Linked DNA regions of Sus scrofa. The protein of the gene in region 5 interacts with the protein of the main gene of each other region in a pairwise test. Links are inferred from orthologs where the notes say so. Each region holds a gene or a part of one and is shown on either strand. Other genes may lie near its edges. The genes, in order: U2AF2, RNPS1, ZSCAN9, FXR2, SRPK2 and SNIP1.

Region 1 (4,229 bases), on a different chromosome or scaffold from region 5:
GCTTTTGCCTCACATGTTTTTCTGATGCAATTAAACATAAAACTTTTCACAAGTGAACTCAAACTCCAGAACCACTAAAAGACAGAAAAACACGCACCTTGGAAAACAGAAAAAAAAATTCCAGCCAACACTGCAATGGTACCTAAGACTAGATCCTGTGCTAGCTCTACTTGAACTTAATCTTGTTACCTTGGGGAGACACTGCTAGAGGCTCACCTGACAGATGGGAAAACTGAGGCTCAGGGAGGTCATGTGACTTGCCCCTGGCCAAAAAGCAAGGAAGTTGTGAACACTGAAATGCCCACAAGTGCAGTTAAGCACTAGGCAATACTCAACATGGGGCAGCCAGAACACTCCAGGGTCTGGCGGGAGCCCCTAAAGACAAGCGGTTACCTCCTTGAAGACACAGACTGAACACGAAAAACAAATCCAAGCCTGGAACCAGGAGGCAAGTAGCATGAAGTAGCAGGTAAGCATGACACTGAGGGCCCAGAGGTGTGCTGGCCTGAGGCTCTGGGCCTCTGGCTCCACTCTTGAAAGATGGGCCAACTATAAAAACAGCGTCTTTTGTGGCTTTGGTTCTGAAACAGACAAGCAGGCAGAGAGGAACAGACACAGAGGAAGAAGTGGCGCCTGCTGGGTGCCTGAGACACAGACAAGGAAATTAATTCCCTGGAGACACAGGTGCACAAGGCAGGGACTGAGGCTTGGAGGAGGCTTGGACCACAGAGACAAAGACCCACAGGCACAACGATACTAGGGCAAAGCTTCCCCTTAAAGCAACAGTAGGTTCCCTGCCTCAACCCAAACAGGTCAGGAAGGAAAGGCAGCTGTGGTTACTCAAAACGCTGTGATCACTTTGTTGTGGGAACAACTCCACCAGCCCAAGGGACGTGCCAGTACCAGTGGGGACACCCAAGAGAAACCAAGCAGCACGTGTGCAAGTGCCCCAAGGAAGGTTCATTCAGTTCCATCTAGCAGTCCAGCCTAGGGGCACGTGGTTTTGCAGCCAGACTCAGGATCAGCTTCAGCTCTTCTGTCTACCAACTGCATAAAACCACAAAACAGCAACCGTACCTTCCAACCTCAGTGTTCCCGGTCTTTTAAACGACGCTCATCCCGCCCCAAGTGTGGGACATGGGATAATGACGCTGGGAAAGCACCTCTCCCTGCTGTCCCAACTCTGACACCACCTCTGAGGCAGCTCAGGGCAGCCTCTCCATTACCTTCCTAAGAAATTTCACTAGGGATCATTTCACAATACTCCTCGTTAGGCACTTAACGAATGCCAGACCGTATGCCACACACTGTACACACATTACCTCACTTAACCTCAGCTGCAACTCTCACCAGCTAAAACCAAAGAAAGTTTTTCAAGCTTTCTGAGCCTGCTTCCTCCTCTGCAAAGGAAAGGAAGTCATGTCAGTCCCCCACGGCTGTTGACCATCTACTTAAATAAGCCGTGTAAAAGCTTAGCAAAGCACTATCAGTACTGCCATCACCATTGACTCCAGAAACCGGTAATAAAGACACATACCTATTTAACAGCCACTACACACAAGAAAAGGATTAAAAAAAAAAAAAAAAAGCATAGACGTGTTAAAGTTCCACAACTACTTAGCAACAAAGCAGGTACTAGAAGCCAAGTCTCCTCCCCTCCAAAGCCTGTGCTGTGAAGCGTTACAACGTGTACAGACACCCCGTGGGCACTCCGAAACCCGACTTCGTCTTCCCCAGGCGCTGTCTCCTCCTAAACCAGCCACCTGCTCCCAACTGCAGACTGGGCTGAAAGGGGAACCCCAGCGCCCCCCGCCCCCTGTGCAGTCCTCTGACCACAAGGAGCTTAGGCCTCGCGCTCGCCACCTCCTCCAGGCCTAAGTTTGTTCTAACATTCGTGGGGTGTCCAAACTAGTCGGCACTAGCTCGGCCTCCTACTTGGACTCCGCATCACCGGAGGGACTTTGCCTCCCATCCTCCCAACTGAGCTAAGTCTCCCTACTCGCTCCGAGCCTGTCTCTTTATCGCCACGTTGAAAAGGCGGACACACGCGGCGCCCGGAGGGTGGGCTCGTACAGAACAGGGGACCTGTCTAACTGAGGAGATATGGGGGGCAGACACGCCACACTGTGCCTGGCGCGACGGCGCGAGGGAGAACCGCGTGCGGGAGGAACACTGAAAACGCACAGTGCGGACCTCTCCCAGGAGACACCGCATCACCCACGTTAGGCTGGAAGGGACCCCGGCGACTAGCCCCCAGGAAAGGCGCGAAGGGCGGCGGTGCGAGAAGGGCCCACACCGCGGCCCTGCATGCGCCCACGTGAAGGGGGGCTCCAACCGCCATTTTGGAACAAAGGGGGCGTGGAGACACCGGCCGCGGGCCCGGCCGGAAGCGGAAGTGCGAGGGCATCGGGAGAAAAGGAGGGGTTGCGGGACCCAATCTACATAATCTCCTTTCCAAATTAAAAAAATAGAAAATAAGTCCGCAACGGACTCCCGACAGCCTGCGGCGCCCGCGCCACCCGCGCCGGGGGCCACGTGGGGCGCGGAACCGAACGCGGCGCGCATGCGCCCGCCGCCCCCTCCCCTCCCGCGCGGCGGCACGCCGGGCGGTCACGTGAGTAAGGCGCGCACCGCGGGGTGGGGGGGCGCCGTGCGGGCCTAAGGGGGGGAAGCGAGGGGGAAAATGGCGGGGGACACAGGGGGAAGCCGAGAGCCGCCCCGCCCGCCGCCCCGCACCCCCGGCGCCCTCACCTTGCTTATTCTCGTTGAGCTGCCGCTCGAACTCGTCGAAGTCCGACATGCTGAGGCGGCCGCGTAGGGCCCTGTGTAGCTCTCGCCTCGCCTTGCCGCGCGCCCGATCCGGCCGCTTCGGCTACTTCCGCCGCTTGCTTCGGCTACTTCCGGCCGCCGCCGGCGTTCCACCGCCTCCTACCTAATCAAGCCCCTGCCGCCCGCCCAGCCCCGCCCCGGCTCCGCCCCTCTCCCCGCCGGCCCGCCCACGAGGCGCACCTCCCCCCAGGGCCTGGCTCCGAAACGCGTCGGCTATTTCCGGACCGTGGAGGAGCGAAGGGAGAGGCGACTTCGGCTGCTTCCGAAAACACCCGAAGCGAGGGTTTCGCAGGCTTCTCAGGTTTTCGTAACTTTTCGGATAGTAGCTCTTCAACGTTCGGATGTTTCCGTAGGTCCTCGCATTCCTAGCACCCAGACTCCCCACTTAGAATTCAGCTTCTTCCAAGAACTCAAACCGTCCGTCTTTGGCTGCTTCCACGGATTCTACCCTCTCTTTCCCAACGGCCCTGTCCAAGCAATCGGCCACTTCCGACAATCCTAACCGTCCCGGATTTCGGCACTTTCCGAAGGTCTCTGGCGCTCCCCCTCGGGCCCAACCAGAGATTAAACCCGTTTCCAAACTTCGGCTCTTTCCGGAGATTCCAAGAGCAACCTCCTCCCCCTTTCGGAGAACTTCGGCTCCTTCCGCCACCGCCTGGGGAAGGACTCACAGCAGACACCTTCGGCTTTTTCCGTGGGCGCTTCGGCTCCTTCCGGCTCCGGGAACCAAAAAGGGAGGGAGGACAGAGGCGAGGTGGGTCAGGGGAAAGGAAAAGAAGAGGCAGGGTCTCGGCTCTCAGCACCCGGCTCTCCCTGTGGGGCGATGGGAGGAAAAGAAGGACCGATGTTGAGAAGCGCCTAAGAAGGTTTCGCGAGACAAAAGCAGCCAGCGGAGTGAAGAGTGCGCGCGGCTGCTGCGGAGGTTGCCAGCGCGGCTTTGTGCGCATGCGCAAAGTGGAAGGGGCGAGCGCGAGAGAGCCTCTGCGCCTGCGTAGAGATCGGTCTGAACCGAGACCTCTCACTGTTCGGAGAGGGGGGGCGGGTCGTCGGGGCCACAGCCCGAGCGCGCGTGCGCGAGATTTCCTTCCTCCAGGGAAGGGACTACATTCCCGACCGTTGAGCAAGGCCGCCCCCTTGCGGTTGCCGTGGCAACCACACAAGCGAGCGTTCCCCCCCCCAACCGCGCCGACGCTGCTAGCCACGCAGCGGGCACTTCCGGGAGACAGAGAATCTCGCTTTACCGCCTCCTGGAGGCAGTCTCTGTTCAGAGCTCCCCGCTCCCCTCGATGGTCGCCTCTCCCAAAAGTCATTGAGTCCCGCCTTCTGCCGCCTTGCCTCTGGTCCAAGTCGGCTCATGCCTCCTTCCCGGAGTTCTGCTCCTCCGAGTTGTTCAGGGCACA
Region 2 (3,970 bases), on a different chromosome or scaffold from region 5:
AAACAAACAAACAAACAAAAAAAACCACAAAAAAATCCCCCCAAACAAACCAGCAACAACCACCCCCAACATTTAATACTCAGTGCGAACAAGTGAAATGTCCCCTCTGAACAGTTAAAAAGCATGAGAACAATACATTAAAAAGCAGTCGTTGCAAATATTAAAGATGCATATGCACATGGAAATGTTATGGAGAGGTATACCCGAGACAAAATAAGATGGATGACATAAAGCAAATACAGCAAAGATGTAAATTGTAGACTCTAGGTGGCCCCGGTTATGTGGCTATTTACTGTACAAAAGTTTCCCAACTTTTCTGTGTGTTCACATTTTTTCAAAAATAAAATTGGAGGGAAACAAGCAGACACTGGAATTGACGCAGTTATTGTAAGTGATGGTTCAGCAAAAGGCCTGGACTGCAGTATGTACTCAGTAAATGATCATTAGTAAATACCGTTCAAGAACCAACTACCAGTTCATTGTGGGTCCCGTTTCCTGGGGACTGTTGCCTTTTGTGGTTCCAGTCAAGTTTTGTAGGATTTGCTTGAGTTCTAAGCAGAGATCTTAGGATGTTAGCTTCTACTACTTCCACCTCACCTTCCCCGACAGCCTGTAAGTCACCTGGACGGACACAGCCGACTAATTTGGAGCCTGTTCCTAAGTCTGCAGTGGTGCCAAAATGTTGGATAATCACTGACTCAAGAGTGTCCAGCTTTGGACAATCAAAGAGAATACAAAAGAGAACATCACCTTTGTTGCTCTTTTCCAGGGCTACAGTCTTTTAAAATGCTCAGTCTTAAAATAATACGGTACAGGAGATGTGGACCAGGCAAGCTGGGATAAGTCAGTCCTCAGACACTCATTGAGTCTAACTCAATGGTTAAGAGTGTGGAGTCAGCCTGCTCGGCTTTCGTTCAGAGCTTTGTTGTGTGACCTTGGATAAATCACCTAACCTTTCTAGCCTCAATTTTTCATCAGTCTACGCCTCATAGTTATCAAAGACATAAATCAAACTGACCCATAAAAGAAACTTGGCACCTACTTAAGGCTCAATAAACCTCAGCTAATTTCAGAAGAAAGGCGCTGGAGGCTCTTTCCCCATAAAAACTCCTGACTCTAAATAAAAGTCGCACACAACCTCTGAATGCTCAAGAGAGGATCACCAAGAGCAGTCTGGTCCAACAGAAAGAGTACCCTAACATTTTGCTAACAGGCACGTTTGCAAAAAGTACAAAAGAAACAGATGTAGTTAACTTTTAGTAATGTATTTATCTGACACCCTATACCCCAAATATTATCTTTTCACCAATCAGTATCCAAGTGTGTTAACAAAATATCTACGCCTCCCCATACCAAGTCTTTTAAACACCCCCCTTTGGGCTGGGTATGTTTCAAGTGCCTAATATCCACACGTGGCCAATTACTGAACCAACCTTACTGAACAGATGACAGAGTGCAGATTGCTGGGCCCCACCCCAGGCCTAAAGATCTGCCCTAATGTACTTTGTAAATAAAAATCTAGCAAGTTATTCTTAAAACTCTGGAAAGTTAAGAACCACAGAGTACGTAAACGCTTCGCTGGGCGAGGCCTAGGTGGTAGAAAGCAATGGTTGACGTTCTCTGTTTACACAAGTTCAGGTAACAGCACAGGACTCTGGTTACCTCCCCCATCCTCCGGAAAGTTGCGCAGTCCAACAGCCAGAGAGAGGAGAGAACAACTAGTTAAATCTCGAGTAGCTACCGTTTCAGGTCGTATCTTCAGAGCCCCTTCCCCGCTGAACAGTACGTTTTAGGCATATTCATGCGAAATTACAAAGGCAAAAAGCCACATCTCTTCTCCACTGATATTTAACCTTCCCGTACCCTCCCTCCTGGGGCAAGCCGGGAAACAGAGCTCCAAGGCATTAAGGGCCATATCCCCAAAGATGGGCACCGAGAACGGCACACAGGAGTCCGACAAATGTTCGTGGATTCCATGTTTAAAGCAAGATCTTCAAAAGGAAGGTCAGACGGTCACCCAGGGCACCCCACAAAGCAACTCTGCACCCACCGGCCCCGGGCCCAACGCGACCTCGCCGCCCCCTGTCCGCGTAGACTCACAACTCCCCACTCCAGGCGCCGGGCCGCGAGAGCTTCCAGGGCAGGGCCTGACGTTGCGGGCCTGGGTCTCCTGCCCGGCGAGAGGACCCTGAGGGTGGAGGCCGAGTTCCCGGCTGCTCCGAATTCCGCGGGCCTCCCTGGGCCCGCCGCAGAGAAGACGAAGCGAGGGCGCCCTTCCGCCCGCCGCAGCCCCGACCACTTCCGGGCCGCGGCCTCGGCGCCTCCTACTCAGCTCTCCTCTGGCCACTCTTTCTTCTTAAGAACTACACCGCGCCGCTAGGCCGCCGTTGCCACCGCGGGGCCGGGGAGAGGGCCGGCTTCACGATGCACCCCGCCGACCTTGGCGAGCGGCCCCCGAAGCTCGGATGGGGTCGGATTCCCGCAACTTACATCTTCCCGCCGCCGAGACCTCCTCCCGCTTTCCTCAGCCGCCGAGGCCGGCGCCGCTCTGGCGTCAGGATTAGGGAGCGGGAAGGCGCCGTCGTCCGGCGCGCAGCGATGACGTAGAGCGCCTCAGCCAATGAGCGCGAGCAAGGAGAATGTTAAAGAGCCAAGGTCGTGTGTAGCACCCCGCGTTGGAGCGCGTACTTTGGTTCCCCTCTCGGGAGGGGCGTCTTGGGCCGCCAGGGGCTGGCTGCGCGGCGCATAGGGCGGGCAAACTGGCAGCTTGCTGGGGCTGGGAGGGCCGTGCTGCGTGGTAGCTCGCGGGCCGGCGCGGGGCGGGTTAAGGCGGCCCTGCCCCTCTCCGTGCGCCTGCGTCCTAGGCTCGCCGCGGGCTTGGTGCGGTCCGTGGGCGCTGGGCCTGAGACCCGGAGTTTCGGGCGGCGGGGTTGGGGGAGGAGTGCGCAGGTGCCGCGGCCTCTAGCCGACCGCCGTGGGGACCGGCCGGGCAGAGGGTTCGTGCGGTTAGAAGCCTCTCAGGGAGTGGCCAGGCAGACGCAGCTTTTACTCCAGCGGAACTCGGCCGGGTGGGTAAGACGGGGTAGTGCCGTCAGAAAGGACGGGCAGCAAAAGACAGGGTAGAAGACGAGGTGCAGGAGTCCCCGTCGTGGTTCAGGGGAAACAAGTCTGACTACAGTCCATAAGGACGCCGGTTAGATCCCTGGCCTTAATTAGTGGATTAAGGATCCGGCGTTGCCTATGAGCTGTGATGTAAGGTCGCAGACGCGGCTGGGATCTGGTGTTGCTGTGGCTGTGTCGTAGGCTGGCAGCTGCAGCTCCGATTCGCTCCCTGACCTGGGAACCTCCAAATACCGCACATGCGGCCCTAAAAAGACAATAAATAAATACATTAAAAATTTAAAAAAGAAGGAGTTCCCATTGTGGCTCAGTGGTTAACCAATCTGACTAGGAAGCATGAGGTTGTGGGTTCGATCCCTGACCTTGCTCAGTGGGTTAAGGATCCGGTGTTGCCGTGAGCTGTGGTGTAGGTCGCAGGCGCAGGTCGGATCCTGCATTGCAGTGGCTCTGGCGTAGGCCGGCGGCTACCTCTAGCCTGGGAACCAACATATGCAGCGAGAGAGACCCAAGAAATGGCAAAAAGACAAAAAATAAAATAAAATAAAATAAAAAGAGAAGACTAGGTGCAGAAGTCAAGGCGCCTCTGCGGAGGTGACACTGCAGCTGAGACCCAAGTGGAAGGGTGCCCTCAGCCGAGAGAAGAGCAGGTGCAAAGGCGCAGAGGCTTGCTGGCAGAAGCCGGGGCTAGGAAGGTGGAGTTTAGCATTTGGGGGGAACTTGGAAGGTGTGCAAGATAAGGCGCCAAGGCTTCATCCCGGGGCTGGTGGACGGCGCAGGCGGGGAGGCATTGCCAGAGCCTCCTGGCAACGGCAAGAGGGTGAGGTTTAGAGGCCCAGGACCAGGCAGGAGG
Region 3 (4,235 bases), on a different chromosome or scaffold from region 5:
GAACCTGTCAAACCTTGAAGTCAGAGTTCCCGCTGTGATGCTGTGGGTTAAGAATCTAACTGCAGGGGCTCGGGTTGCTGCGGAACCGTGGGTTCCATCCTCTGCAGGCACAGTGGGTTAAAGGATCCAACACTGTTCCAGCTGCAGTGTAGGTCGCAGCTCCTGCTTGGATTCAATCCCTGGCCCAGGAACTTTCATATGTTGCTGGTGCGGCCATAAATATTTTAAACAAAAGCAGACAAACAAAAAACCCTGAAGTCCATTCTCTAAAGCTGTTCTTCACAGTGATTCCTGAACCAAGACCAGAGAGTTTCCAGGATGGTACTCAGGGAAAGACTGAGTGCAGGCGAAGGGGACAAGGATGAGCCCACCAGGCAGTCAGAAGCACTGAGCGTTGCTAGTATCTTCTATATCCCTGGTTTCCCAGTTCTGGCTTTTTGGTTTGTGCTCGACCAGGTGGGATATGTTCAACACCAAAGAAATCCTGTCTCTCACCTGTCTCTCCAATGTGTTGGGGCTCCTGAGCAGGGTCACATGTGAGTTGGGGCTCCTTAGGCTGGGACTGGAGGCCCAGTGACATTTGCTCTCCTAGAGACACTGTCCCTTCAGGGAGGACTTCTTGTCCAAGTCTGTAGGCTACCATCTAGAAACAAAGAGACAAGATTTGACTTCTGAAGAAATTATAACTGTTTCCAGAAAGAAACAGAAATCAGGGTCTTATTTAATCACCAAAGTCAAGGGGATACAAAGTGGAGGATCACAAGGGTCCTTGGTGACACCCATAAACCTTTTTCCCTGGTGATCTCCCTTCCTACCTCATGTTGTGGTTCATCGAGCTCTCTCTCCAGATCCTCCAGCAAAATCACTGCCTCCTCCCCACTTTCTGGACAGCGCTCCCTCACCCAGCCCTGGAGCTCCTCGGGCAGGATAGATAGGAACTGCTCCAGCACCAGCAGATCCAGAATCTGCTCCTTCGTGCTCACATGTGGCCTCAACCACTGGTAGCAAAGTTCCCGGAGTCGGGTGAGAGCCTCCCTTGGTCCAGGGGTCTCCTGGTAACAGAGCTGTCGAAAGTGCCTTCGGAAGATCTCCCTTGCCAGTGGGTTATTTCGTTTCAGCCTGGATTCCTGCATTTGGAAGTGACTTTCTGCCTCCACTTTCAGTGTCAGAAGTTCTTCCCAAACCTCAGGAGCTTGAACATCCAGGGATAAAACCTCCTTGGGGTCTGTCATCTTGATCTCGAATAGCTTAAAAGGGACCCACCAGCTGGAGTTATGTTTTAGAAACACCTTTGGAAGTGTCCTCTTAAGCAGTTAAAAAAAAAAAAAAAAAAGAAGAAGAAAGAAAAAAAGAAAAGAAATCCCTGTTTTTGTAGAAAAACAGCAGCAGTTAATTATAGGAACTAATCGTATAAACAATTGTCATAGACTCTAAAGCTCTTCACTGAAAGTAAAGTGACCAAAGGGTGGGGATAATGGAAAATCTACAGACTCATTGTATAAAAGTCAAATTAGAGAAAGAATAAATGGAAAAATGGTTTTATCTTTGACTAAGTGAATGAACTTTTATTGAAGTCTTGAGTTTGTAAAATTAGTCTTTTAAACAATCATTTAAGGTTGGTTTCATTTTCACTAATTCACAGAAAGGAAAATTTAGGGAGATTTCAAGTCCTGTGGGCTTTGCATGCTACTCTGCTGTCTCCTCAGAGTAACAGCCAACGCTGCACAACAGTCTACAACATGCTTTCAGACACATATTTAAGCCTCACAATTACCCTCTGAGGTTTGTTTACAATCACTGTTTCAATAGATAAGAAATGGGGCCGGGGTGGGAGTGGGGGGAGTTAAGCAGGTTGCTTAATGTCAAATTCTTGGTGAGGACAGTCCTAAGAATCCACAGAAGCTCAAGGGAGAAGAAATCTGATACTCGGCGGTTCCTGAGACCCAGGAGGCCGGTGTGTCTCCAAAATGTCCGAAGTGCCTCCCAGCAGCTGAATTCCAGCACCATAGGCCCTTTGGCAGACATCCAGGGAATAGAATCCCAGGACTGGGGGTGGGAGGGGAAGGATAGGGAGCCCTGATTATGTATCTCAGGAATTTGGGTGCTCCTCAGGAATTTGTATGCATTTCAAGGTTTGCGAATCAGTGAACTCAGGGAAAGGGAGCCGGAAAATGTCATATTCTGCACTTGAACCTCGGTCCATTCAACGCCCCTTCAGATGCTTTTAGAACCTAAGCGTATACACAGGGGCTGTCCATGAGGAAGGCTGCAGAACGTCTTAAAAAATATGTGTCCTTAACTTCCTTGTCCCGGAAAATATTTCCCCAACTCCAGGCGTTTCCTGCCCTGTGTCTTAATCCTGCTGCCGTTATTCAGTTATTCACGGTGGGGACCTTCTGCCCTGGCAGCCCCCGCTTAGCCCCCTGCCACGCAACGTCCCTCCAGCCTGGGAGGATCGTTCTGCGATAGGACCCCGGAGCACGACGACGACGACCACCACCACCACCACCACCTCCACCCCTGGCCCCCCGCCCTCCTCGGGGCTGCGAGTCCCTTTCCACCCCACTTCACCCCGGTCCCGGGCCCACTCACTAGGCCTGGAAAAGGCGAGGAGGTAGGGGGCTCCCGCCCTGGCGCTGGCGCGCGCCCGGGAACAAAGGCCCAGCGGGGAAGATGCCCGCCACCGAGGGGCCCTCCGCGCAAGGCACTTCCGGCCGGTCTAGGACTCCGGGTCTCGGTTCCTACCTCCTGCGCGTGCCTCACCTGGAGCCAACCCCCAACTGCCTGGGCCTCCAGTTCGTTTTCCACGGTGACTCACAGAATTTCATACGTGTGTGAGCCCCAAACAGGTTTTAAACTGAAAACACGGCTGAAGCACCGACCATTAATGATTGAAAATGCTTTATTTTTTGAACATTAAAAAAATTAATCCATTACCTATGGTTTTTTATAAAACCTCAGACAATGCCAAAATTAATAAAGTAAAAAGTGAAATCCTACCCTGTTCCTAGTTCCACCGCCCTAAAGGAACCACCATCACCTTTAGCTTGGGATTTGCATGTATAATTATTTCTCTCCCCTCCCCCAATTTTTTGCCACTAAAGCTGTCTGGGTTCTTAGCAGTAATGCAAAATCGGTTCAAAATCAATTAAATTAGCTTCATCGGTGTAAAAGAGCATAATTATAAGTATTGTTAGTCGTTCATCAATTTTTTTATGCCAACCAGGATAGTGGTGTTTTGTAGATTAAACTATGTTTTGCTTTGTTTTAACCTCATTATTATTTTAACGTCGCATCAGTAAAAAAGCATCTTGCATGTTAATGGAGGTACCCTGATGTATTTTTAACTCTAAAACTGTAGCTGTGCAAATACCTTTAGTTGTTTTCTACAGCTTAGCCATGTGAGGGCATTAAATAAACTCAAGCTTTATCCTTTACTTCAGCTTCTTCCAAATATCCAGTAACTGCGTAATCATTTAGAGCACCAGTATAAAGAAAAATTGCCCCAAATCTCAATCACTTTCTCCAACATACCTCACTTGCAAAGCCCTCAGTACAACTTTCCTAAGAACCATGTAATGGGAGTAATTGCTCAATTTCTCTTGTACTTTAAATATGTTACTCTTTTTTTTTTTTTAAATCTTTTTAGGGCCGTACCCGAGACATATGGAAGTTCCCAGGCTAGGGGTCAAATTGGAGCCACAACAACACTGGACCTACACCACAGCTTATGATCCTTAACCCACAAACCCACTGATCGAGGCCAGGGAATGAACCCTCATCCTCAAGGATACTAGTCTGGTTTCTTACTGCTGAGCCGCGGCGGGAACTCCCTACTCTTCCATTTTTGATGTACATCTTTGATAAGTAAACAGTTTTTTTTCTTTAAGTAAACAGTTTTTATACTTATATGAAACTCTCAAATATCTCACTGGCAATTGCTTTGGCTCTGTAACTGGTTTATGTGTGTTAAGTAGGTCAACTATAGCAGCCTGGTTCCATGCTAGGGTCAAGTGGATGTCGTAGTTAAACAGCTTTGAGAAAGACTGGCTCCCATCTGTCTGTTTGGAAGAGGATTCCCCTACAGAGGAGTTTTTTTGTTTTTTTGTTTTTTCTTTTTAGGGCCACACTGGTGGCATATGGAAGTTCCCAGTCTAGGGGTCAAATCAGAGCTGTAGCTGTTGGCCTACGCCAGAGCCACAGCAACACAGGATTCTAGCCGAGTCTGCAATCTA
Region 4 (4,233 bases), on a different chromosome or scaffold from region 5:
AAGATACCTTAAGTTCTGACAGAAGAGGAAGAGTTGATGGGATAGCTATAAGAAAACTCAGATCCCTAATCTGACATTTGCAGTTCTATCCTGGGAGAAGATCAACAACAAGACCCAATTCTGACACCGATGAAAAGAACCTTCCCAAATATATAGTTCCAGAAGCAACGTGAAGACTCCTTGAACCACAGTGAAGTTTGCTGAGTCATGAATATTAAATCAGTAACAAGGTCAGATTGGGTAAGTATCTATATGGCACTGAAAGTTGAAGAAAGCCTAGTCTGAATTTAAGGATCTATTGTTTTCAACTGCAGCGTGGAGCAGAAAATGCTAAGTGGCCAGAACACAAAATCCACATTGCATGGCTTTCAGTTCAACTCCGAACTCTACTCTCAGATTCAAAGCATCCTATCCCCAATTCACTCAATCACAACTATCACTGCCATAGCCCACAGGAAAAAAGGGAAAGATGTAGAGATTTTCTCTTGGACACTTGGATGTGGAAAGGACTTCCCAGCAGTCTCACACAGTTAATTTGAACTGGTTATCAATCTCTCCCGCTGTGCTTGGCTCCTATGCTTCTTAGAACAAAAGCAAACATCATATCTTGATCTCAGACTCAATTTAAGAATCCTTTTTCTTGGGGGTGCAAGGACCCAGATGCAGGACAAGATACTGTGGGAAATAAGGCTAAAATTTATTATTTCAACAAAGGTAATACAAGTTTTGGGGAAAAGGATATAAGAGACAAATGTACTCTATCAGAATCTGAAAGGAATTAAGAGACTTTGCCAAGGGAAACAAATGCAATAGAGGAAGGCTAGAAGAAAAAGTCCCATGAGTTAGGAAAGTATGTAGAAAAAAATGACAGAAGGGATCAGCTGGGAGCTTCCTTCTCCCATTTCAAGAGAGTAATGGAATAGGTAGTTCCTGGGATTACACAGGAATATAGAAATATTAGGATAAAAAAAGCAAGACTTAAATCGAGAGGATAAGATGGACTGTGGGTAACTAAAGGCACTGAAGAATATAAAGAAAAATGGTGAGGAAAGTAAGGCAGAAATAAACAGGCATTTGGACTCAGTTAAAAGATGACTACACTGAACTTACCAAGTGAAGCTGGGGCAGAAACTTTCTACTCCAAGGGCAAATATGAGACCCTTTCCAGTTATAACAAGATATGACTTCACAGGGAAGGAGCTGGAGAAAGTCATTTCCAAGGGCACAAAGCTGGAGACGTCTCTTATAGGAGGAAAAGCTTGGGGGAAATTGAAGGAAAGGGGGGCTCTTCTCCTCAAAAGTGATGTTACAAAAAGGTATCTCTGAGCTTGCTCCTCAGGGTAAAAGAAAGACTAAGACAGGAATCAGGAAAGTCTCTGGAACAATTGCAGGCATAAAGTCCAAAGAGGTTCAAAATAACAAGAGTAAGATCAGTCACATAAAGAAAAATGCCTGAGAGGCAATTGGGGTCTCCCTCTGGCTTAATCTAAGTGGGAAAACCCCTCCTACAAAAAAAAAAAAATGGATTCAGAACAGATAAAGAAGGCGATAATAAAAGGAGTTCTAAAAAACCAAATCCCAGGCAACGGAGGGAGCTGAAATAAGTAAACAATGATCTTTTAAAGATAGTCAGCTGCTCCTAAAAAAAAAAAAAAAAAAAAAAAAAAAGGAAAGAAAGAAAAAAAAAGGCTATCAGATTCCCAAATTGGGTGAGTTGGCTAAAAGTCTTCCAGAAGTGGAAAGAAATGCTTTAAATAAACAGAGAATCCTCATGAGAGCCCCTTTTAGAGATCAGGGCTATGAAGCTCACACTCCTTAGGATGAAACTATCCGAAGGATCTAAATGTATCCGAGGTCAAAGTGAGATGACAAACACAAAACCACCCCTAGGGAGAACGGTAGACCAGCTAATCTTGGAATAAAGGGGTGGGGTGAGAGACTTGTGAAAAGATGCCACCTTATGGCTACGAGGCAACTTGACTGGTACAGCCCAGAGTTCCTGAGGTCAAAGATACTAAATGTCATAAACAGATTCTGACCGTTTCTCCTTGGGTTGGGAACAGAAATATAAGATGAAAGTGGGGTGAGTCTTTCAGAGCCAGTAGGCAGAGGCCTCTCCGAGGAAGATGAAAGGATCTAATATGGGACGGCCTTCCCAAGGGGGCAATAGGGGAGAATAAAGAGAATTCTCCATGTGCTAGGACTGTGGGGAAGACGTGATGAAGATCTAAGGTATGTCTTCTACTAGGAGACAGGAAAAGTCAATGAGACGCTGGGTAAATGGGGTCTCTTCTGGGAGGTGGGGGGGGGGCGCTGATCTAAGCACAATTAATACCCTGATGTTCTTTCCTGAGATGCGGGTGAAGGCAGGCGGAATAGACGGGCCAAACATAAGACGAAGGGGTTTAAGTTCCAGAGGTCTCCCCCCCCACCACCCCGAGGGCTGCGGGTGGGAGCAGGTCTAAGGCTCTAAGGGTCGGGGCTTAGCTCCAGAACCTCAATGCCGCCCCACTCTTCCCCGCTCCGGCTGGAGAGAAGGGGCTGAAGACCCGCGTTCCTGGCCGGCGCGCCGCCTCACCTTGTAGAAGGCCCCGTTGGAGCCGCGCACCTCGACGGGCAGTCCCGGCTCCACATCCCCCCCGAGGCCAGGCCGCCCATGGCGCCGCCACCGCCTCCGACTCCCCCGGCGGCGGCTGCAGCAGCGCTCTGAGTACGGGCCGGGCCAGGTCCCCGGCGTCTCCCCGGAGGAGGAGCCGGAGGGGGAGCCGCGGGGGGCGGGAGCCGGGCCGGCCCCACGGCGGCCCTGCCACAGCCAACGAGCAGGGGGCCGGGGCCGGGCCGCTCCCCGTCCGCCGCCGCCGCCTTGGTCTCCGCCACCGTGAGGGAATCGGCCGCCGCCGCCGCTGCCTTCGTCACCTCAGCTTCCGCCCGCCGCCGCCCCCGCTGCTGCCTCAGTCCCGGGACCCGCTGCTGCCGCTGCCGCTCCACGGCCTCCACCTCCCCCTGCCGCCGCCGCCTACTGCGCAGGCGCACCGGGCACCCGCCCGCCGCGCGCGGGCCCCGAGGGCCACGGCGCAGGCGTCAAGGCTGGCGACCCAGCTCGCGCTCGCCAGCGCACCAGGGCTTCCACACTTCTTTTCACTCTCTCGCGCCCCCTCCTGGTCGCGTACTTGCGCTTGCGCAGAACCAGACTGGCTCTCTTTCTCCGTCCCCCCCACCATTCCACCGCCCCCATCTCTTCCTTTCCCCGCCCCACAACACTGAGAGCTAACCAATCATGGGGAGGGAGGGACCGAGCTCACTCAATCGGATTGGATTTCTGCTGCTCCAGGTCAGACCACACCCCCTTCACCACAGTGCACTCCACCGGGCTTGAACAAGTTAGGGATGGGCATGCGCCTGAATGATTGCTTGGTCACTTTCCCCACCTTTGTCTTTCTTGGTGCGCACGCTCCAAATGGGAAAAAAAAAAAAGTCGAAATGCCCCCCCAAAAAAGAGCCTGGTGCGCATGCGCCGGGTTTTACGGTCCACACGCCAGTCTGGACTCTTCTGATCGCCTGTAACTGTGCGATGAGGTTAAAGTCTTCTTGCCTTAAGAAGATTCTGATCATGCATATGATGAAAGGTTAGAAAAGAATTTCAAGGCAGTACCAAAAGGCAAATGCAACTTAGGTTATTAGCACAAGATTTGAATCTAAGTGTTGAGGATATTCAAAATAGGAAATATTAGTACAGAGAAAGGATGGTAGAGGGAAAACTTTGGATTCTTAAACCAAGGTAAGTAAGAAATTTAGGTAGAAGTGAATAAAATAGCCCAGAAACTAGAATCCTGTGTTGTACAATTAATCATTTAACAAATATTTATTTAGCCCTCCCTGTGTTCCAATTACTGTGTTAAGTGGTAAAGATACAAAGACATAACGTCCCCAAAACAAGGATTTTATAACATATTGAGGAAGAGGCAGGCAGTTAAACAAGTTTAAACAAACAAGCGCATGGAGTCCATCTGAAGATGTGATAAAGGAATACAGTGGTGCAGAGGAGCAGAAAGAACATGTCCTTTGGGGAACCACAACTAGTTCAGAGCGTTTGGCTACACCCTGAAGTACTTGTAAATCAGATTATGGAGAATAGCTCTCTTTTATCAAAACTGGGGAGCCACTGAAAGATCTTAAGCAGTAGTATAATATCCTAAGATTTAGGAGTTCCCATCGTGGCTCAGTGGTTAAGGA
Region 5 (4,157 bases):
GGCGTTGCCGTGAGCTGTGTGGTGTAGGTTGCAGACGCGGCTCGGATCCCGCGTTGCTGTGGCTCTGGCGTAGGCCGGTGGCTACAGCTCCGATTGGACCCCTAGCCTGGGAACCTCCACGTGCCGCAGGAGCGGCCCAAGAAATAGCAAAAAAGACAAAAAAAAAAAAAAAAGGCATGCATTTTTCTTTTTTTGGGGGGGTGTCTTTTTAGGGCTGCACCCACGGCATATGGAAGTTCCCAGGCTAGGGGTCAAATTGGAGCTGTAGTTGCTGGGCTACGCCACAGCAACGCAGAATACGAGCGTGTCTGTGACCTACACCACAGCTCACCGCAACGCAGAATCCCCAACCCACTGACTGAACCTGCATTCTCATGGATACTAGCCGGATTCATTTCCGCTGCGCCACAAGGGTAACTCCCAGCATGTCTTTTTCAACTTCTATTAACTTTTCTGAAAAAAAAAAAAGGGGCTATGCAGGAATAAACTCTTTGAGTTGAAAGTTGTGCTCCAAACCCAACACTCAGGATCCTAAACATTACAGTCCTTACTTATGGGCTTTCCGTCGTTCACCAAAAGAAATGCCTAATGTAAGGTTCTGATTGAGAGCATTAATTTTTAAAGCATCTAAAACTATCAAATATCCATTGCTATTTAACGTTTCGAGAATGTAATACCCAATTTTTACCCACCAGTTCCTTAAGTCCTTAATAAGTACTTCTTCCTCGCTCTAGTAGGTTTTTCTTTCTTTTTTTTTTTTTTAAGGCATTATGATGTTGCTACGACATTTTGTGAAATGCTGAACATACTTTCAAGTTATATTCCGGTTTGAATGAACAAAAATCCTATCACGATACATTACATTAATAGTAAAGACTTAGGCAGTTTTCATAGACGCCACCAATGGGTGTGAAATTCGCTAAGCAGAAATCAAGGCTAATAGGAAGGGGAAAAGCCTAGGAAGGCTGCAGGTTCGTCCCCTAAAGAAAACAAACAAGAAATATTTCGTGATTTTATTTAAAGATGATGATGGGCTATCCCTATAGTAGCAAATTTAACACAGGGTATTTCTTGCTCAAATGGAAGAGGGAAGCCACAAATCTGGGAGAAGGAGTAAAGATGTTGAACGCTGATAGATTCTTCAAAACCAGGAAAGAAAGGGAGAGACACGGCGGCGCTCCGCGGTCCCGAAGCAGCTCTCCAGGAAAGACTTCCCGAGCGCCGGGCGCTCCCACTCCGGTCCGCGGCCAGGCTGGGGGTGGCTGGCGGCTGGCACGTTTTAAATATCACCACCCCGTTCGTCGCCTCCCAGCACAATGAGGGGCTGGGCAGCCGCGCCGAGGACCGCCCGCGCACACGCCCACCGGTCCCGCGCAGCCGGAGACCCGGGCGCAGCCGCCGCGCAGTGAAGGCACGCTCGGCCCGGGCAGAAAGTTTCGGAAAAAAACCCAAGCGCCGAAACGCACAGGTCTCGGAGCTGAACTCGAGCCAGGAACACGCCCGAGGCAAACCACTTGACAACCAGCTCGGGTTTTCAGCTGAAAGGCCGAAAGGTGGGGGCCGGGGAGGAAGAGGAGGAGACACCCAACACACACACACTCTTTCTCACACTCCGTTCCTCTTCCTCTAGGGCCCAGGTGGCCAGGTGGGAGCAACGCCGCAGCCTCACGCCGGCACTCGGCGCGGCGGGGCCGGGCCCGGCCTGCAGACGCCACCGCCCCTCCCAGGAAGGCCCGCGACCCCCGGGACAGCTCGGCGAGCCGGGGACGTTGCGCACGCCCGGCGCCTCCTCGTCCGTCAGCCCCCTGTGCCTTGGGACCCAAGGGGCCGAGGGTCCGGGATGCTCAGCGGGCTGGCCGCGGGCCAGCGCGCCCCTCCCCCGACCGTCAGCCCCTCCCCCCGGGCAGCCCGCGGGGCGCGCTGGAGGCGAGCGCCGGCGTCCCGGGGGATCAGCCCGCCCGCTCGCCCGCCCCGGGGACCCGAGCAACTTTCCCCTGCGCGGCCGCGGGCTACCCCCGACCGGGCAGGGGCGGGGGTCCGGAGACTAGCGCAGCGTGGACTCACTTTTTCGGATGTTTCTCTCTTTTCGGCCTCCGCTTTCGGGCCTGAATGGCCAGCACTGAGGAAAGAGAAGACACACATTAACGGTCGGGCAGACCGGCCTCAGGGGCCGCGTGGCAGGGAAGAGAGGACGCCACGGGCCACTCACCTTTCCGGGAGCTCATCGCGACGCAGCGGAAGCGGGGAGGGGGCTTCGCGGCGGCAGCGGCGTCGGCGGCGGCGACGCGGGAGCCGAGCCGGGATGCAGCCACCACTCGTTCTGCCGGCCAGGAGGAGGCGGGGACCGCGCCTGCGCCGCCGCCGCAGCTGCCGCTCCAGCTGGGGGCCCAGCAAGACCCGCCCCCAGCCGGCCCCGCCCCCGCCCCGCCCCCACCCACCCGGTGGGGTCCAGACCCTCCGCGCTGTCCCTCCCGCGCCACCCGTACCCACCTGCACCCACCCGCCTGACTCACCTGGGCGAAAATGACCCCCCCCCACGTCCACCGCTGCTCCCGCCCCCGCCGCCGTCTGGGCCTTCGGCTCCTGCGCCCCCGCGTTTGGCCCAGGCCTCCTTCCTCTCCCCGGCATAGGGCCACGAGCCATAGCCCCTCTACCTACCCCGGCCCGACGCGCTGCCCGCCTCTCCATGCGCCTTTCCTGGGCCAGCGCCTCCATGGGTCTCACACCACCTCTCCTCGCGCGGCCTCTTTTCCCCCTTTGCTCCTCTACATCCTTGCATCCCCATGAGCGCCGCTCCCTCCTCTCCGGCGAGTGTGTAAAGGGCACAGGACCAAGAGCTGGGAAACCTGGGTCCTTCAATAGCTGTGTGACCTTGGAAAAGTCATCTTATTTCTCACCTTTACCCCAGAGGATTGCTCGAGTGTGATGAAGGAAACGATGCAAATAGCATGGAAGGTTGAATTAAGTGTTTGCACACGAATCAAAGCCCAGCTCTGTAAATACCATAGGTAACAGTTTAATTCAACAACCCACCAAAGGAGTTCTTTCTCCATCTTACGAAGAGGAAACAGTCCTGAAGAGGTTTACCCAGCAATGATTCAAATTTAGGCCTAGCTGACTCCAAACTCACGCATCATGTTTCCTAATCAAGATGACTGTGAGAAAAATAACTGCAGAGGTCCCTTGTTCATTTAAATAATTATATTTCTGAAAGAGATTCATCCTGACCATTTAATCTCAACTGCGCTTTTTTTCTTTTTTTTTCTTTTTAAGGCCATCCAGGGGCATATGGAAGTTCCCAGGCTAGGGGTTGCATCCAAGCCTCATACACAGCCTACACTGCAGCTTACCCCTACAATGGATCCTTAAACCATTGACCAAAGCCAGAGATCAAACCCACATCCTCAGAGACACTATCTCGGGGTTCTTTACCTGCTGAGCCACAACAGGAACTCCATCATCTGTAGTTTTAACTGATCAGAATAGCTGCTCTGAAATATTTATTTTATGGAGTTCCCATCATGGCACAGTGGTTAACGAACCTGACTAGGAACCATGAGGTTGAGGGTTCCATCCCCAGCCTCGCTCAGTGGGTTAAGGATCTGGCGTTGCTGTGAGCTGTGGTCTAGGTTGCAAACGCGGCTCGGATCTGGCATTGCTGTGGCTTAGGCCAACAGCAAAAGCTCTGATTAGACCCCTAGCCTGGGAACCTCCAAATGCCACAGGTGCAGCCCTAGAAAAGACAAAAATAAATAAATAAAATATTTATTTTAAAGATGCTAGTTCCCATCCTGGCTCAGTGGTTAACGAATCCAGCTAGGAACCATGAGGTTGCGGGTTTGATCCTGGCCTTGCTCAGTAGTTAAGGATCCGGCATTGCTGTGAGCTGTGAGCTATGGTGTAGACCGGCGGCTACAGCTCCAATTAGACCCCTAGCCTGGGAACCTCCATATGCCACAGATGTGGGCCTAGAAAAGACCAAAAAAAAAAAAAAAAAAAAAAAAAAGTATGATTATTTTAAAGATGCTAAACCCGCTGGAACAGCACTGCTTGAATCTGAAGAGCTTTTTACTTTCTCAATTTTTTATTTTCAAAAATATCAAACCTACAGAGTTCCGGTTGTAGCTCAGTGGAAACGAATCCGACTAGGAACCATG
Region 6 (4,295 bases), on a different chromosome or scaffold from region 5:
GCTGTGGGACAGGACCTGAGGGTCCAGGCTGCTGGGGGCTGACTTTCAGTAGCCGAGCCTGAGAAGGAAGGACAAGGTGGGACAGGAGGTGATTTAGACACTCAGCTCCACACACTTTGGCAGGCTTTCACCGGGTCACTCGCATACCTCTCCCCCATTCTCAGATCACTCTTCCTCATTAGAAGTTATGTTTCAGAGCTGAAGGAGGCCATGAAGAATCTCTGGTCCCACCCCAACTCAATGCTTCTATCTCCTTGTGCAGATGTTGCTCAGGCCTTTACTTTCTTACCTTTAGAGATGGGGCCAGTCACTATCAGATCTATCCTTGTACACTACCTGGATAGGGCAGGGAGCCCCATCCATCTCTCTGTGACTTTTTTTCCCATCCTAAATCTGCCCTTAGGATCACCCAACATCTGGGCTTCTTGTACCGCTCTCCCACCCTCCTTGCCTGGTCCTAATTCCCTTTATTCCCAGTCACTGCACCCTCTGTCCCTTGGGACTCCCAATCCTCAAGGCAGGGATCTGTCATTCCCCGTGGGAGTTTCCGAGCTCCCCCATCCTGAGACTCCTCCTTACTTTGGGACTCCGTTTCTCCGTGTTGCGGCTCACCAATACCGGGGTATCATACTTGAGCAGAGAGTCGGCGGGGGGGATCATGGCGGCGGCGAGGGTAGCAGCACAGCAGCGACCCTCCTGTCAGGGCAGTGTTTGCCGTCGCCATGGAAACGTCCTTGACATCCTCATGGCCTGGGCGGGGCTTCGAGGCGGGGCGGGGCCAGCAGCTCGAGAGTTTCTTTCTGCTCAACCTTCGAGGAAAGTTCTCCTGCGTTTAGCTTGTCAAGCCTCCTGCTCACCGGGATCGCCTTAGCACTCTTGGAAGCAGGGGAAACTTGAGTTCTGGATCCCTTCGCTGCGTCCAGCTCACGGTTTGAGTAAGGCGCAGATCACTTTCGCTGATCCTGGATTTTGTCACCCGCAAATGGAATCATTTGACTCCTCAGTGAAGGCTGAGGAAGATTCCCAGAGGAAGGCATTTAAAGTTCCCAGGTTTTAAAAAGAGTTTGCCTTTAATGGAGAAATGGCGACGATTTGCCCGGCCGACGATTTGCCCGGGCTACGATCTGTGATTGCATTTCCTTCTCTTCCCCTTTCCTTCGTATTTCCAAACGTAAATGTCATCACAGTCTGCGCACAATTTTGCATCTTGCTTCTTCCATTTAACAAGTCAGACTTTTTTCCATTTGTCGTATAGTTTGTAAATACCATTGCAAATGGTGACATAATCTCTTTTCTACTGCTGGATGTGTAGTTTGTCCCCATGTTTAGTAACTAGTAATAACGCGTCAACAAACAACCTTGAGAGGAGCTTTTTCCCCCCAATTTGTTTTTGAAACCTAAAACTCCCGCCCCACAGAGTCGGGTCCCTAAGGCCCCGCCCACTCGGGATTCTGATCGCGTTATCCGCCGCGAGGGTTTCTGGGAGAGCGCGCACCCGGAAGCGGAAGTCCAGGACTCAAGTCCGTCATTTCCTTCACGGAGAGGAGCGCGACGGTCCTGTTTTTCCTTGGCTCAGCCGTTTCACAGCATGAAGGAGGTGAAGAGCGAGCGGGAGCGGGGAAGTCGGCGAAGGCACCGGGACGGGGACATGGTGGCGGCGGCGACGGTGGTGGTGAAGCAGGAGCGCCTCAGCCCGGAATCCGCGCCTCCTGTCCATCGCCGTCCGGACTCCTCCGGCGGTAGCCCTTCCCCGCTGGCCGGCGAGTCAGGCCGCCCCGGTCACCGCGGGAACCGAGCTCGAGGAGGTAGCCGGTAAGTGGGAAGCAGCCTGGGGTAGACCTGAGGTCGGGCTTTTTGAGAAAGGGGGACAGGGCTGGCACCAGGAGCACACCTTGAATGCTGAGCGCGGCAGCTTGAATTAATCCTAAGGCGATAGAAGTGACCGGTTGTGAGTGTGTTAACGTTTACTCTGATACCTGTTACTTGCGTTATACCTGGGCGTTAAACGCCTAATGCCTGATGGGCAAGTTCTTGCTCCTTCATCTCTGTGTGCTCAGCATTTCTCCGAGTATGGTCCAGCTGATGACAATGATAGTTTATGTTGAAATGAAAGATTTTTCCCACCTGCCTCCAAATGGGGTTATTTTTTCAGTTATCTGCCCCAAGAAGTTTTCATATCCTGAGCCTAGGTGATCTGTCTGATATTCTGGGGGGAAATTGTCTTTTGCGAACAATTTATTCATTCATTCGACATAGTTTTGTCGAGTACTTATTATGTGCTAAAGACCTCATAGGTTATAAAATAATGTGGAAAATAGCTATGTACAATTTTTTAAAATATAAATGTATATGTGGAATTTGAATCAAACTGTAAAATTATACACAGATAAAACTGAAATAAAGAAAATAATGGGAGTTCCCATTGTACCTCAGCAGTAACGAACTGGACTAGTATTCTTGAGGACTATGAGGATGTAGAATTCATCCCTGGCCTCGATCAGTGGGTTCAGGATCCAGCGTTGCCATAAGCTGCATTGTAGGTCGAAGATGCGGCTCTGATCCTGTGTTGCTATGGCTGTGGCGTAGGCCAGCAGCTGTGGCTCTGATTTGACCCCTAGCCTGGGAACTTCCATATGCTAAGGGTGTGGCCCTAAAAAGACAAAAAAAAAAAAAAAAAAAAAAAGGAAGAAAGAAAGAAAAAGAAAAGAAAATATGAGGCAGGCAGGCAGGCCGTCCTGGGTATTGGGGTGGAAAGAATGAGCATGATAGATGATCTCTACCCTGGTGAAACTGAGATGCTCTAGCCCTGAGACAGAATAACAAGGAAATAAAGAAAATAATTTGTTAGTAACAAGTACTAGGGATAGGTTAAGACAGTAATGTCATAGAGAGTGGAGAGAAGTGGTTCTCTGTGAAAAGTCTGCCACTTGACCTGAAACCTGATTGATAAAAATAATCCAGGCTTGTAAAGATCTAATCAGAGAAAACAAGCAGTGCAAAGATCCTGAAGTGGAATTAATTGTGTTCCTTCTAGAAAAGGAGGAGGGGAGGGGATCCGGTATAGTGAGGTGGGTAGGAATGCGGTGGGAGAGAGAAGAGGTAGAGCCTGGAGCCAGAGGACTTGCTGATTGATTGTGAGCGTGTTGGGGAGGAGCATGGGGCCTCTTGGTGGTAAGGGGGAGAAAAAAAAAGAATCTAGGATGACTTCTAGGTTTTTGGCCTGAGGAACGGATGGATAGTGGTATCAGTTACCCTGATGGCAAAGATAGGAAAGTTGAGAGGTGGGAATTTAGCCTTCTCTTATCGAAGTGAGAAGTTTCAATTGGCAGCTACATATGTGGGAGACATTCAGGGCTGAAAAAGTGAAGCTCCTGACTCCTTTAGTGTGATCAGCAGAAGCCTTCACAAATGTGATGTTTGTGTTAGTAGATAGGCCTGATACTTGAAGCTAATTTGTATGAGCGAATGAAAATTGAGATGAAATTTATGTGTACCATTCTCTGAACAGGTCCCCACCGAGAAAGAAAAATAAGTCCTCGGGGAGAAGAAGCAAGTCTCCCCGGAGTAGGAGAAGCCGAAGTCCTCACCACTCAACAGTCAAAGTGAAGCAGGTAAGCGGATTGAGATGTTTTCATACCGGCTCCATCAGAGCTGGAGTGTTGTGTGTGTGTTCACCTCTGCCTGCGGTGGGCTTTTCTAGAAACTGGCTTTTTGGGGTTTTTTTGTCTGCCTGTTTACTTCGTTAAACTAAACCTTTTATTTTGAGATAACTGTTGATTCACCTGCAGTTGTAAGAAAATAATACAGAAGTGGTTGTTTCTCCCATTGGAAGCATTTTACATAATTATAGAACTCTATTCCAACCAGAAAAAATTTTTAAGGGAAAAGTGGTTTTTGTTTTTAATTAAAGTATAGTTTAATGATAGTTCCCTCTGGTGTACAGTAGGTCCTTGTTGATTATCTATTCACAACCAAAATATTGACATCAATACAGTTAACATGCAAAACCTTTCCATCACCACAAGATCCCTCATATAGTCCTTTTGTAGTCATATTCATTTCCTTCGCACCCTTAGCCCTCAATTCCTGGCAGCTTCTCATCTCGTTTCCATTTTGTAATTTTGTCATTTCACAAATATTATGTAAATGAAATCATACAGTATGCAGTCTTATGGGATTGGCTTTTTTCCATTCTGCAAAATTCTTTGCAGATGCATTTAGATTATTGCATCTCTGTAGTTCATTCTTTTTATTGCCGAATGATATTCACTGGTATGGGTTTAACCATTTTCCCA

The links.
Region 1: the proteins of SRPK2 (region 5) and U2AF2 interact in binary tests that used the Homo sapiens proteins (3 or more experiments, as listed by UniProt). The link is inferred for Sus scrofa from reciprocal best matches to the Homo sapiens genes SRPK2 and U2AF2.
Region 2: the proteins of SRPK2 (region 5) and RNPS1 interact in binary tests that used the Homo sapiens proteins (3 or more experiments, as listed by UniProt). The link is inferred for Sus scrofa from reciprocal best matches to the Homo sapiens genes SRPK2 and RNPS1.
Region 3: the proteins of SRPK2 (region 5) and ZSCAN9 interact in binary tests that used the Homo sapiens proteins (3 or more experiments, as listed by UniProt). The two-hybrid records come from large-scale screens. The link is inferred for Sus scrofa from reciprocal best matches to the Homo sapiens genes SRPK2 and ZSCAN9.
Region 4: the proteins of SRPK2 (region 5) and FXR2 interact in binary tests that used the Homo sapiens proteins (3 or more experiments, as listed by UniProt). The link is inferred for Sus scrofa from reciprocal best matches to the Homo sapiens genes SRPK2 and FXR2.
Region 6: the proteins of SRPK2 (region 5) and SNIP1 interact in binary tests that used the Homo sapiens proteins (3 or more experiments, as listed by UniProt). The link is inferred for Sus scrofa from reciprocal best matches to the Homo sapiens genes SRPK2 and SNIP1.

Annotation. Positions count from the first base shown.
Region 1 is NC_010448.4:59,772,761-59,776,989, reverse strand, and holds the start of U2AF2 (U2 small nuclear RNA auxiliary factor 2), read right to left. Parts: upstream 2,801-4,229; coding exon 2,752-2,800; intron 1-2,751. UniProt on the Homo sapiens protein: Plays a role in pre-mRNA splicing and 3'-end processing. By recruiting PRPF19 and the PRP19C/Prp19 complex/NTC/Nineteen complex to the RNA polymerase II C-terminal domain (CTD), and thereby pre-mRNA, may couple transcription to splicing.
Region 2 is NC_010445.4:39,737,888-39,741,857, reverse strand, and holds the start of RNPS1 (RNA-binding protein with serine-rich domain 1), read right to left. Parts: upstream 2,801-3,970; 5' UTR 2,493-2,800; coding exon of another isoform or gene 2,491-2,492; 5' UTR 2,101-2,490; exon of another isoform or gene 1,663-2,100; intron 1-1,662. UniProt on the Homo sapiens protein: Part of pre- and post-splicing multiprotein mRNP complexes. Auxiliary component of the splicing-dependent multiprotein exon junction complex (EJC) deposited at splice junction on mRNAs.
Region 3 is NC_010449.5:22,080,640-22,084,874, reverse strand, and holds the start of ZSCAN9 (zinc finger and SCAN domain-containing protein 9), read right to left. Parts: upstream 2,801-4,235; 5' UTR 2,593-2,800; intron 1,305-2,592; 5' UTR 1,233-1,304; coding exon 816-1,232; intron 644-815; coding exon 496-643; intron 1-495. UniProt on the Homo sapiens protein: May be involved in transcriptional regulation.
Region 4 is NC_010454.4:52,900,458-52,904,690, forward strand, and holds the start of FXR2 (fragile X mental retardation syndrome-related protein 2), read right to left. Parts: upstream 2,801-4,233; 5' UTR 2,579-2,800; intron 1-2,578. UniProt on the Homo sapiens protein: mRNA-binding protein that acts as a regulator of mRNAs translation and/or stability, and which is required for adult hippocampal neurogenesis. Specifically binds to AU-rich elements (AREs) in the 3'-UTR of target mRNAs.
Region 5 is NC_010451.4:105,261,890-105,266,046, forward strand, and holds the start of SRPK2 (SRSF protein kinase 2), read right to left. Parts: upstream 2,801-4,157; 5' UTR 2,786-2,800; coding exon 2,659-2,785; intron 2,380-2,658; exon of another isoform or gene 2,226-2,379; coding exon of another isoform or gene 2,210-2,225; intron 2,120-2,209; coding exon 2,065-2,119; intron 1-2,064. UniProt on the Homo sapiens protein: Serine/arginine-rich protein-specific kinase which specifically phosphorylates its substrates at serine residues located in regions rich in arginine/serine dipeptides, known as RS domains and is involved in the phosphorylation of SR splicing factors and the regulation of splicing.
Region 6 is NC_010448.4:93,609,370-93,613,664, reverse strand, and holds the start of SNIP1 (smad nuclear-interacting protein 1), read left to right. Parts: upstream 1-1,495; 5' UTR 1,496-1,588; coding exon 1,589-1,812; intron 1,813-3,508; coding exon 3,509-3,611; intron 3,612-4,295. UniProt on the Homo sapiens protein: Required for pre-mRNA splicing as component of the spliceosome. As a component of the minor spliceosome, involved in the splicing of U12-type introns in pre-mRNAs. Down-regulates NF-kappa-B signaling by competing with RELA for CREBBP/EP300 binding.